Sus scrofa: one gene and its partners. The protein of the gene in region 1 interacts with the protein of each later gene in a pairwise test. Links are inferred from orthologs where the notes say so. Each region holds a gene or a part of one and is shown on either strand. Other genes may lie near its edges.

Region 1 (4,194 bases):
CAGATTCCTAAAACTTAGAAAGACGTGTACTAAAGGACTGAGATCTAATAAAATTATTTTTACTGCTTCATCAAAGACATTCTCAAGTAAGTATAGCTGAGGTTGGGTGCAACTGCCTTGCTTTGTGCTAAGGTACTACCAGTAGTTTTACCAAGCATTGCTTTTGGACCATCAGTGCAAATGTCGGTAAAAAAAACAAATAGCCTCCTAGTATTACTTCGTGGATAATACTCCTGAAAGGGCCTGAGGGGATTCCCGAGGGTCGGTGAACCACATTTTGGGAACTGCTTTCCTATATTACACCACTGGTCCAAGGCAGGCGTGAAAACTAACAAAATCCGATTTATCCCAAGAGTCGTCATTGTTAGTTCTTTCAGTTTGAGATACACCACCAAGAGAGCTGGTATGCAAAACAGAAAACCAACAAGGATCTACTATATAGCACAGGGAACTCCACTAAATATCTTGTAACGACCGATAAGTAAAAAGAAACTGAAAAATAGATATAAATATGTATAATTGAATCACTTTTCTGTACACCTGAAACTAACGCAAAATTCTACATTAACTGTATTTCAATTTTCTTTGTATTTTATTTTAGTCTTTTTAGGGCCACACTTGCGGCACATGGAGGTTCCCAGGTGAGGGGTCAAATCCGAGCTACAGCTGCGGGCCCACACACCACAGCCACAGCAACTTCAGATAGGAAGCATGTCTGCGACCTACACCACAGCTCACCCCAAGGCCAGATCCTTAACCCACTGATCGAGGCCAGGGATCAAACCTGAGTCCTCATGGATACTAGTCAGATTCATTTCTGCTTAGCCACAACAGGAACTCCATTTAGTTCAATTCTTAATATAACTTAAAAATTTACAAAACATGGCTGGTACCTTATAACCATAAAATAGGAAAAGGAAATCAAGGGCATAGACTGCCACTTAATTGTTCTAAGATTTTGAGCATCTTTTTTGCTAGACCGACAACTCTCAATATGGTGGTTACCACACTCTCAGCTGAAGGTAGAAATCTACCCCTTCCCCGTCCCATCCAAAAAGGCTTGGGAATGAGCCTCCCCTACCCCAACTACACTTTTAGAAATTTCCAACATACTTCTTATGCACCCTGAAGTTAAGAATGATTGTGCTAAGTAGTTCGAATTCAGAGTCCAATTCCCAGTTCCAAGAGCAATGGGTCTCGAAATTCAATGCCGTTCTCCAAGAGGCAAGCCCTCCACCTCATCTGTTTCCCCTTCATCTAGATAGGGAAATTCCTCTGAAAGTAAAATTGTATCTCTGTGAGGTTTTAAGCTGCGATGGGAACTCTATAAAAGAGTGTAGAGGGCTGCACAGTTTGCAACAAAACGACGGCTGTTCTGAGACAGGACACCTGTATCTCAATTTCCATCTTCAAAGAGATTTTGGGCTAAATGACTTAAAAAGACTCTCCCGCTCTACCTTTTTCTAAGCTGAAAATGTCCAAGACAAGCAGAGAAACGTCCAGCATTAGCAACAATTTGGGGGAATCCCCCGTGTGACAGGCGAAGAAATCAGGACAACTCGTAGAAAGGAGAGAAAGCAGGTGAATCAACGACATCACTCCTTTTCAGAAGGTGCTAAAAACCTAGAAAAATAGTCCCTGGGATAAACATGGCGCCCACCGCGGCAGGATATAATCATCGGAAAATAAAGATTTTAAGCCCCATCCCATTTTGTAAATCACGGCGCCAGCCCAAAGAAATCTTAGAGCGCGGGGAGGGGGGCTGGGGGGGAGGAGACTTTGTAAACTAACAGCGGTGCGCTAAGGCTTGGGATGTACTATACGACCGAGCGGGAATTACATAACACAAGGGAGCGGCTAAGCAATCACTCATTTTCCTCCTGGAGCTCAAAAAGAGAGCCCCACTCTTGGCCCGGCGGGGGTGGGGCGGAGAGGACCCAGCACTACCCCTACCCCACCCCCGGGGGACCTCGGCCCGCCGCCCCTCCCGCCCGCCTCCCCGGCGCGGCCTCGCCCCCTAGCCAGCCCCTCCCGCCGCGCCCCGCCGTCTCGCTGCTGCCCGCGCCCCCGCCCCTTCCCCGGCGGGCCGCCGCCCGCGCCCGCGCCCGCCCACTCCTCCGAGACGCCTCGCGCCGGGTGTGCGTGTGGACGTCGGCTGTGTGCGGGGCCGTGGGGCGCGAGTGCGCGCGCGCGCGCCGCGGCAGGCGCCGGGGGGCGGGGGCGGCCGGCAGGCAGGGGCCTCCCCGGCCCGGCCCGCCGCGCAACTCGCGCGGCTCCCGGGGCGCACGCACTCACACACGCTCTCGCGCGCCGCACCCCACGCCCGCCGCCGCCGCGGGCCGCGACGCCACTCGAGGGGGGCGGGGGCGCGCGCCACCGGGCCCCCGCCCCCACCCCTCGCGTTCCCGCCCCATCCCCCTCTCATTGTCTCGCCTCGGAACGCCTCGCCGAGCGAAAAGATAACGGAACCCCCGGGAGAAGGGGGTGGGGAGAGAGAAGGCTCGCTCGCTCACTCACCTCCCGTGGTCGTCGCCGCCGGTAGTCTGACCCGAGGAAGGCGCCGTCGCCTTAAAGGGACCTTGCACCCCGCGCCGGGAGAAGGGGGTGGGAGCAGGGGAGGGGACGGGGGCTTGGGGGGAGACGGAGAAGAGGGAACCGTTGAAAGCTAGTCTCCCCGAGGGTGAAAGGAAACCTCCCTCGGGTTCGAGTGATTTGAGGTGGATTTTTTTTCCCGAGGGGGGCGGGGGGCCCCCGAGGGAGGGGGGCGGGGGGGCCGAGGAATGCGGCTCCGTGTACGGGAGCTGGCGCGGGGGAGAGAGACGCCGACTCCCCCCACCGACCCTCTCGCCCCGCGGAGGGATACGACTCGTCACTTCCGCCCTCCCCCTTTCGTGGTTTTTCAATTGGTTGGAGCGCGTGGCACGTCATGGGCTCATCCTAACCCCTGCCCGGGCTTCTTTTCTAGTCAAGTTTGTCTGGGCCTGCAAATAAATAAATAAATAATCTTTCCCAAAAAATGGAATGAAAAATAATTAGCTTCAGAAACAACATCTAAGTTTTGGTGATAAAGATGGGATTTCCAAAGATAATGTTCCCCAATTCACTTGCGGGGACTTTCCAGGGAAATTTTGGGAATCTCCACACTTTCCACTCAAGGCTCTTACCTAACCAAGAGGAGAACCTCATGCCTTAGGCCAGATAGTGAGGCCCAATGGCCCCAACGACTGTCATTAGAACAAAAGCGTCAAAATGGCACTCACTCTTTCTCAAGAGACATGCAGTCAAGTGGCCTTAAGTGAAGAAATTTTAAAAGCCGTTTTTACCCTAGACGCTTCTGGATTCTGGAAGGAAGTCACACATGATTGCTTATTAAGGTGATCATGTATGAAAACTGCTTTGAGATGAGTAGAATCCTCGGAGATCCTCAATTCTAAGAAACTGTAGACTCCTCTTCTGTGCTCTTTGCTCCAAATAAGGCTGACATGGACTGGCCCAAAGATTGATTTGTACATTCAAGACCATCAACCTATTATTTTTCCTCAAACAAAAACTAACCTCTTTCCAAGTGACTAAGAAAGTTTGTCCTTTATTACCTCCTGAGATGATAAAAGCTTAGTATTTTCCTTGGATATTTGAGGAAATAGTTGCTCTTTAATCAATACCCAAACATCTGCTCCAAACCAAATGGTAAATCAAAGTAGTCGTGCAAGGCTGGTGAGATGCAAAAACATATCTATTCTTTTTCTATGTTTACATTCCAAACCACCAGACTATGAAAATTGGCAGTGAAAGTAAGCATTCCAAATTGTGCACCCATGCACATGCATGCACCACCACCCATTTTCATCATCCTATTTCATACCAAAAATATGAGTGATTTCAACTAGTCATTCTTAGGAAAAACTTTATTATTTGAATTGGGAAGATCACCAATCCTTCTGAAAATACTTCTGAAGATTTTCCAGGCCTGATCTGGAAGAGCCCATGGCGGGATTACGGAATCAATCATCAAAAAACATTCTACATGGAGATCTAATCCTATTTTATTCTTTCCCTCCATAATTACTATAATTCATTATGTCATTTGCCTCAGAAATAGTCTTACTGACAAATTTTGCCATATTCTGAGCCTGTTCTGAGTTCTAGCCCAGTAGACTATACCATGTACCATTGATCAATAACCATTAGTGTACC
Region 2 (4,243 bases), on another chromosome or scaffold:
TGTGGTTTTGTATTGCATTTCCCATTTCACTTTTATTTTTTCTTTGGAAAGATGTCTGTTAACGTCTTTTGTGTATTTTTAAATTGGGTTGTCTTTTTGTGATTGAGTTACAAGAGTTTTTTAAAAAATATTTTGGATAGTAGATCCCCATCAGATATATCACTTGCAAACTTTTCTCCATTTTGTGGATTATCTTTTCACTTTCTTGTTTGTATTCTTTGACCCAAAAGAGTTTTTAATTTTGATGGCCAATTTGTTTCTTTAATTGGTTGTGCTTTTGGTTTTTAAATCTAAGAAACCTGTCCCCTAATCCAAGGTCATACAGATCTACATCTATGTTTTCTTCTAGTAGTTTTGTAGTTATAGCCTTTATATCCATTTTGAGTTGCTTTTTGCCTTTGGTAGGAGGCAGAGGGCCAAACCCATTCTGTTGTACGTGGATATCCAGTTGTCCTAGTACCCTTTATTGAAAAGGTTGTCCCTTCACTGAATGGTCGTGGAGCAATTTGTATTTTGGCACAAATCCTTATGTATATATGAGGATGTGTCCTATTCTTTTTAATATTATTGAAGTACCTTATTCTTAAAGTACTTTAATAATCAAGCATTCATCAATTCAATACATCTACTAAAAGTCCTCTCTGCTCGCCCCCGGTCACAGCTGTGAATAAGAGGACAGGGCTCCTGTCCTCACGGGGTCCTCATTTTAGAGTCACGATGAATTAGCAGGAAAGGGACGATAAAACTACTGCCACTGAGAGCTGTCAAAGGAAGAGGGGCGCTGCGAGAGTGCATTTTGGAGACAGACTTGCCTAAGTGCAGTCTCTAAGTTGGAACCTGCTCGTCCAGCGGGAGTGGGGGACGCATGGGGCGGTGGGACTGCAGAGAGGGGTCGAGTTGGGGAGCAGGTGCGGCCGGACACGCGTTTCGGAAGACCAGCAGCGCGACCTGCAGAGGAGCGACTGGGGGGCGGGGGCGGGGGCCGAGAAGGCCGCGGTGGGTCCAGGCAGGTACCAGAAGCGAGGGGAGGCTGGTTGAGTTGGTTGGACCTCTAACCGCAGGTCCCCCGCGCTCAACACGAGCGGCGGGGGAGCGAGGGGGGCGTGACCCGGCCGGGATTCTACCAACCCCGGACCGCCCGCGGAGAGAAGCCCTGACGTCACGCGCCCCGGTGGACGCCCTCGCCCCGCCCACCGCCCCGCGCACGCGCGCCTCGGGCCGGGCCTGCAACGCGCCGGGTTTTGGCGTTGACCCGCGGGCGTCGCGCACGGCGTCGCGCACGGAGGGCGTGAGGGTGGGGCGGGGCTTCCGGTGAGGCGGTGGCTGGACGCGCTGTGGCCCAAGATGGACGTGCCGGCGGTGCTCGCCCCCCCGGCTCCGGCCCCGGCCCAGCGCGGACCCCAGCTCGGGGGCGGCCCCGGTCGGACCCGCAGAGCTCCGGGCCCTGCGCGCCGCCGTCTCCTGCTGCTGCGGAGCCCCGAGGACGACGCGCAGGGGCAGCAGTGCGGAGAGGCCCGGCCAGCGGGCCCCGGCGGCGGCGGCGGCGGCGGCGGAGGCGACTCCTTCGTGGTGCTGCTGGAAGTGGCGCGCGGCGCGGCCGAGGCCCCGGGGCGGCTGGAGCCCGAGCCCGAGCCCAGCGTCGCCGCGAGCCCGGCCGGGCGCCCAGCGCAGGCCCTCGGCGGCGAAGCCCTTGTTTCCCCTACCGGCGCGCCTCTCGCGAGCCCCGGGGCCGCCGGCGGCCAGGACCTGGTGGTGCGCTTAGAGCGCGGCGTCCTCGCGCTTGCTGCACCGCCCCGGGGTTCTCCGCCGGACCGGGAGGCCGCCTGTCCGGCCGAGGCCCGCCGCGCGCCCGCCGGTCCCGGCTACCGCTGCCCGGAGCCACAGTGCGCTCTCCTCTTCGCCAAGAAGCACCAGCTCAAGGTGCACCTGCTGACGCACAGCGGCGGCCAGGGCCGGCGGCCCTTCAAGTGCCCGCTGGACGGCTGCGGCTGGGCCTTCACCACGTCCTACAAGCTCAAGCGGCACCTGCAGTCGCACGACAAGCTGCGGCCCTTTGGCTGCCCGGTGGGCGGCTGCGGCAAGAAGTTCACCACCGTATACAACCTCAAGGCGCACATGAAGGGCCACGAGCAGGAGAGCCTGTTCAAGTGCGAGGTGTGCGCCGAGCGCTTCCCCACGCATGCCAAGCTCAGCTCGCACCAGCGCAGCCACTTCGAGCCCGAGCGGCCCTACAAGTGCGACTATCCCGGTGAGCGGCGCGGCGGCGGGGGCCAAGCACGCGGCGTTTCTTCTTGCCGGGTTTTGGGGTTGCACCTGAACCCTGCGTTGCTGCGAGGTTGGGACAGCGAGGTAGCCCAGATCGTCTCAGCGCCCTTCCCAGGCTGCAGGCAGCGCTTCTCTTAAGGTGCTTCCGGTTAACGGGGTCGCAAGGTGTCTTTCCAGAGGTTTGAGTTTCCAGGCAGGTCTCATCGTTTAGAAAAGCTCGGTCCCACTTTCAGGCTCGCGCTCCGGGCTGCAGGGCGATCTGGCCCCAGGCGAGACCTTAGGAGCTGGAAGGACAGTCGCGGGTGTATGGTCCTTGTTTTTGTATCTCGAAAACCTTTATTTCCTTTGGACTTCACAGTTTTGTGAGGTTCTGGAAGTCGTCCTCATCTTCAGATGAAGAGACTGAGGCCGAGCAAGGCGGATACAGTCCGCGGAGGGGTCTTTCTCCGCTCTGATTGCTGTTGAACTCTCCCTGGGATAGATTTCTGCCTGGGAAGCCGAGGGAGTGCTGGTGGGTGAAGCTGCCAAGCCAAGGCAGGGAATGTGAGCTGTCGTGGGGCTGGGGGAGGAGCTGGAAGGGGGTCTGGGGGTGAAGCTGGAAGGGTGCAGGAGGCCTCCCGCATTCTTTGTTAAGAGAAGAGCTTGAATGTATTCCTACCTTGTGCCTGAGACCATGTTGATGTGTCTTGTAGGGCAGTGTGCTCTCCATAACGTGTATGTCATGAAATATATGTCAAAGGGTGGGACAAAAGTTAGTTGCTAGTATGTTTTTGTGTTTTCTTCCCTCCTGTCCTGGGCTGTCTTGTGCACCCATCTTCCTGGAGAGTGTGGCTTTAGGCCACTGATTAACGACTTTCTGAGCCCTGCACTCAGATGTGTTGGTGGCTTGCGACCGCTCTCTGGTCAGAAGCACAGGGGCACCTGAATGTGGTGGCAGAAGGGTCAGGGGTCCAGCCTGCTCCAGGGCACCCAGTCACCCTGAGGATTTTGAGGTGAATAGTCAGTGGGGTGTCTATCAGAGATGGGTGGGAGCAGGCTGTTGAAGCCCTGCTGAATGTTCCAGACCTGAGTTTGCTGAGGGCTGATCCAGGTAGAGGCAGTGGGGAATGCTGGAGAAGAAAGATTGCAGGGGGGAGTCGTGAGACCTGACTGTCAGCTGCGTGTGTGTGTGTGTGTGTGTGTGTGTGTGTGTGTGTCGGGAGTTCCTGATAGGGCAGGGGACTGGCTGAGCCTGTTTAGATTCGCCTGACCCAGTGTGAAGACGCCAATCCCAGGATGAGGAATGGCCAGGGTGGGGGCAGATTTTTGCCAGCAGGGAGGGTTGTAGGGCATTTAGGAAAATCAGCATTTCCCAGTTCAGTGTTGCTGCAGAAAGTAGGGTTCCCTACGCAGCGTGTACCTGGGGGCACCTGGTGGCAGGAGAGAAGTCTTCGAGGAAGAGGGCTTCGAGAAGTGTGTGCAGAGACACCTGGTAAACCTCTTGCAGCCTCCTGTTTCCTGCCCTGTTGGAGCCCTGAACCTTTTGTAAAAGGAGAACTAGTTATACCCAAAGTCTGGTGGCCTAGCTGAGGTTGAAGATGACCCCATAACCTCTGACAGCGCAGGGAACCCTGAGGAAGTGGGCCAAAGGAGAGAGAGGAGCTAGGTGACCGAGGCCAGTTGCAGGGGAGAGGGAGCAGCATCGCTCCCACAGGTGAAGAGGTCAAAGGGTCTCAGATGCTGCAGTGCTCTGCAGCCCTTTCCAGCTCAGCCTTACCAGCTGGGAACTCCTTCATGGGTCCTCGCATTGGCCTCTCTTGCTTTCAAGCGGGCCGCCGTGGCAGTTGAATTTCTGTAATGTCCACAGGGTCTGTGCTACAGCACTAGGAGCTGGTGACTGTGCCTGGAGGACTCTTGATCAGGTGCTCTGTCTCTGAGTCCTCTCGGGGCCAGAGGCCTGTGTGCACCCATTGGCTCCCCGGAGCACCCCGCTTCAGCT
Region 3 (3,642 bases), on another chromosome or scaffold:
GTCATAAGACTGCCTTTCTAGTTCCCTTTGCTCCTAGGCTAGAGCCCAGGCAGTTACCTTGGACTATGGGTGGACAGTAAAATAGGAGGAGAATGGGTCTGGAAATGTGCTACCAGTCCAAGACAATTTATCTCTGGACTTCTTTTATGTAAGGAAAAAAAAAATCCTATTTACACCACAGGATTGTTTGTTTGTTTTTTTAAATATTGTAGTTGCCGCTATATCTAGAAATAATAAATGCTTTTACAAAAGATAACAGCTATCTAACTTCAATGTCTGGAAGGTACTGGAACCAAACCCTCTAAGGTTTGGTTTCAAAAGTAGAACCCTGCCATTCTTGTCCTACATCCTTCCCAGTGTTACACGTACCCTTCTTTCCTTTGGAATTTTCCCTTCTGCCTCTAATTTAGCCCGGGCTTGCCTCCTCTTAAGAATACGGTGGTACTGTTTGGCATTCACATAGAGAGGCTCTTCTTCAAGCATCTCTGCCCCGGGAAGAGGGATTCTTTGGATAGCAGGCACAGAGCCAGCACCAGGTACCATCTGAGTGGAGAAAAAAATCAGAGCTCATCAAATCCTGGCATGAAATATGGACATGGGAAATGGTTTCTTGGTTCCTCTGTTTTCAGAAAAATGGTAAGAAGAGTAGCTTTTACACGACACTTAGCTAAATGCAGAATCTTGGAGAATACGCTAAAAGTCTACATTTTATTTATTTATTTTTTAGTTTTTTGTCTCTTTAGGGCTTCACCTGTGGCATATGGAGGTTCCCAGGCTAGGGGTCGAATTGGAGCTGTAGCTGCGGGCCTATGCCACAGCCACAGCAATGTGGGATCCAAGCCGCATCGGCAACCTACACCACAGCTCACAGCAATGCCAGATCCTTAACCCTCTGAGCAGGGCCAGGGACTGAACCCTCATCCTCATGAATACTAGTTGGGTTCGTTAACCACTGAGTCATGACAGGAACTCCAAAGTCTACATTTTAAACAAACATTCCATTCCGTCACAGGGGACTGAGAAGCCATAGTGAGAAATGATAAAAACCATATTCAAATTTCTGTCCACCTACATGTGGTTCCATTTTCTGGAAATGTCTGCTGCCATCTAATAGTTATGAGCAGTAATCCTAAGGCAATAAGAGCACAAGGAAAATGGCACAAAGGAAAGTAGGTTCAGACTGACCAAGTGCTACTAGATGCTCTTAGTTATATAAATAATTTAAATAGTTAACTTACTATGTAATTCAACTCCTATTTTCCTAAACAAACAAAAATAAAACATTGTACTAAATGTATGAGGGAACAAGAAACAGGCTCCCCTGGCCCACTCCCTTCCCAAGGGTGACAACACTGAGTGGCTATATTGTTTCTTCTGGTAGCTTCTTCCACTTCTGTGCAGGTTTCTACTACTCATTCTGAATTTATCCATTTTCGGTGCTATATACTGACACCCCTGTTTTGACATATGAGGATTTAGCTTCACTCACATCACTCAACTCCCCTTTCCTGTCTTCTCAATATGTTGGTATCACACATTTCTTGGGGGGGGGAGGGTTCTCTACTGATTACAGTCCTACCCCCCCCCCTTTAAGGGCTCTATCTGCTGCATATGTAAGTTCCCAGGCTAGGGAATGAATCAGAGCTGCAGCTGCTGGACATGGCCACAGCCACATGGGATCCAAGCCTTGTCTGCGACCTACACCAGGACACCACAGCTCACAGCAACACCGGATCCTTAACCCACTGAGCGAGGCCAGGGATCAATCCTGCATCCTCATGGATACTAGTCAGGTTTGTTACTGCTGAGCCACAACAGGAACTCCTTCAATCCTATTTTTGAACTGACTTCTAATTTCACCCACTCTGGGCAATATTACTTCCCCTTTCTTAAAGATTAGTAGTTTAGGAGTTCCCATTGTGGCTCAGTGGAAATGAGTATGACTAGTAACCACAGGATGCAGGTTCGATCCCCAGCTTCACTCAGTGGGTTAAGGATCTGAGATTGCTGTGAGCTGTGGTGTAGGTCGCAGACACAGCTCGGCTGTGGCTGGCGGCTACAGCTCTGATTTGACCCCTAGCCTGGGAACCTCCATATGCTGCAGATGCAGCCCTAAAGAGACAAAAAAATTAGCAGTTTATATCTCCCTTCATTATCTGAATTCTGAGTAAGATTACTTAAAAGCAAATATTTACATCTGTGTATCTTCTGCTATACTTCTAGTACCTAGAATCGTCTCTTGACACACAGCAGGTGCTCTGAATGAATTACGGTTTTTGTAAAAGTAGACCTCTGTGTCTTAAGGGATAAATCTCAATCCTAGGAGGTCAGCATGATAAACAAGCTTTATTAGACACCAAATTGCAAGTTCAAGAACATTTCAAAGACAAAGAGATACATGGGAAAGCAATTACTGATGAGAACAGCTGAGATAAAGAATTTCTTACCATGACCATCCCTCCTGAATTGACCACATTGCCTGCCACTGGTAGTGTCACCGTGACAGTTCCTTGCCCACTGCTGGTTGTGTTGGTGTTGGCTCCCGTCTGAACAATCTGTGCTCCTGCCAAACTGGCTGCAGGGATGGTGATCATGCCTGAAACAGGGACTGTAACTTTAAGAAATAAAACATAAAACAAACAAAAAACAGGTACACAGAAAGAAGGGAACAGAGTTAGTCCCTCTTCTATCTGGCACACACTTAATTTACCCTGGAAAAACCTACTTAACACAGTACAAGGGGAAAAAAGCACTCTTCCATTGCCTCCCCGGTTTGCTGTACATACTCCATACAATGACAATCTTAGAAATTCTATTAACTATCCGGGTTCCAGTTTTGAATAAAACCAACCTTAAATTGGGTATTTCCCTGGGTATTCCAATAGTTTTTAATGGGTGACCAAAAAGTTTGGAGGCTTCCCTGTCTATGGACCACTATGTTGTTCAAGAGGTCACCACAAAATTTCTAAAGCAGTCAATTTGCTCAAGATGAAAAGGATGCCCCTAAAAGTCCCACAGAAAAGATGGGCACACTACCTTGCTGGAGAATGGTGCCATCTGCATTGACTGGCTGATAGACGATGGTCTGTCCCTCAGCAGTCTGTGCCACTTGCTGCCCCTGGACAGCGATCTGCTGCTGTGTCTGTAGGAAATACACCGGGACACAATTTATAGATTCCAAAGCCACCACAAAGAAAAGGACTATCTAGTCCTTTTTAAGAAAAAACAAATTTTGGATAATTTTCTACCCCACTTCTACTACATGTGAAATATTCAACTAGCTGGTCTGACCTTCCAAATCAGCTGTGCTCTAACAGTGGAGAGAACGAAATTACCTGTGTCTGGCCAGCAGTAACAGCAGTCTGGGGCTGCTGGATGATGATCTGCTGGGTCTGGCCCTGCTGACCCTGAACCTGCACAGCCTGCCCACCCTGGATCTGGATCTGCCCAGGTGGGACCAACTGTATCTGCGGAAGAGGACACAAATGTTAGTGCTCTGCTGACACTGGACTCCTTTGGCCCCGGAGTGTTCCTTACTCAAATTCCTCTAGAAGGCAGGAAATGCTCTGAAGAGGAAAAAGAGACAGAAGCCTTGTTCTGCTCTCTATTATGAGTTAGAGAGAACCTGTCTTCCATTTATGA

The links.
Region 2: the proteins of POGZ (region 1) and ZXDC interact in binary tests that used the Homo sapiens proteins (3 or more experiments, as listed by UniProt). The link is inferred for Sus scrofa from reciprocal best matches to the Homo sapiens genes POGZ and ZXDC.
Region 3: the proteins of POGZ (region 1) and NFYA interact in binary tests that used the Homo sapiens proteins (3 or more experiments, as listed by UniProt). The two-hybrid records come from large-scale screens. The link is inferred for Sus scrofa from reciprocal best matches to the Homo sapiens genes POGZ and NFYA.

Annotation. Positions count from the first base shown.
Region 1 is NC_010446.5:97,775,253-97,779,446, reverse strand, and holds the start of POGZ (pogo transposable element with ZNF domain), read right to left. Parts: upstream 2,861-4,194; 5' UTR 2,518-2,860; intron 1-2,517. UniProt on the Homo sapiens protein: Plays a role in mitotic cell cycle progression and is involved in kinetochore assembly and mitotic sister chromatid cohesion.
Region 2 is NC_010449.5:53,639,052-53,643,294, forward strand, and holds the start of ZXDC (zinc finger protein ZXDC), read left to right. Parts: upstream 1-1,344; coding exon 1,345-2,248; intron 2,249-4,243. UniProt on the Homo sapiens protein: Cooperates with CIITA to promote transcription of MHC class I and MHC class II genes.
Region 3 is NC_010449.5:36,400,213-36,403,854, reverse strand, and holds part of NFYA (nuclear transcription factor Y subunit alpha), read right to left. Parts: intron 3,468-3,642; coding exon 3,336-3,467; intron 3,143-3,335; coding exon 3,037-3,142; intron 2,615-3,036; coding exon of another isoform or gene 2,597-2,614; coding exon 2,448-2,596; intron 544-2,447; coding exon 370-543; intron 1-369. UniProt on the Homo sapiens protein: Component of the sequence-specific heterotrimeric transcription factor (NF-Y) which specifically recognizes a 5'-CCAAT-3' box motif found in the promoters of its target genes.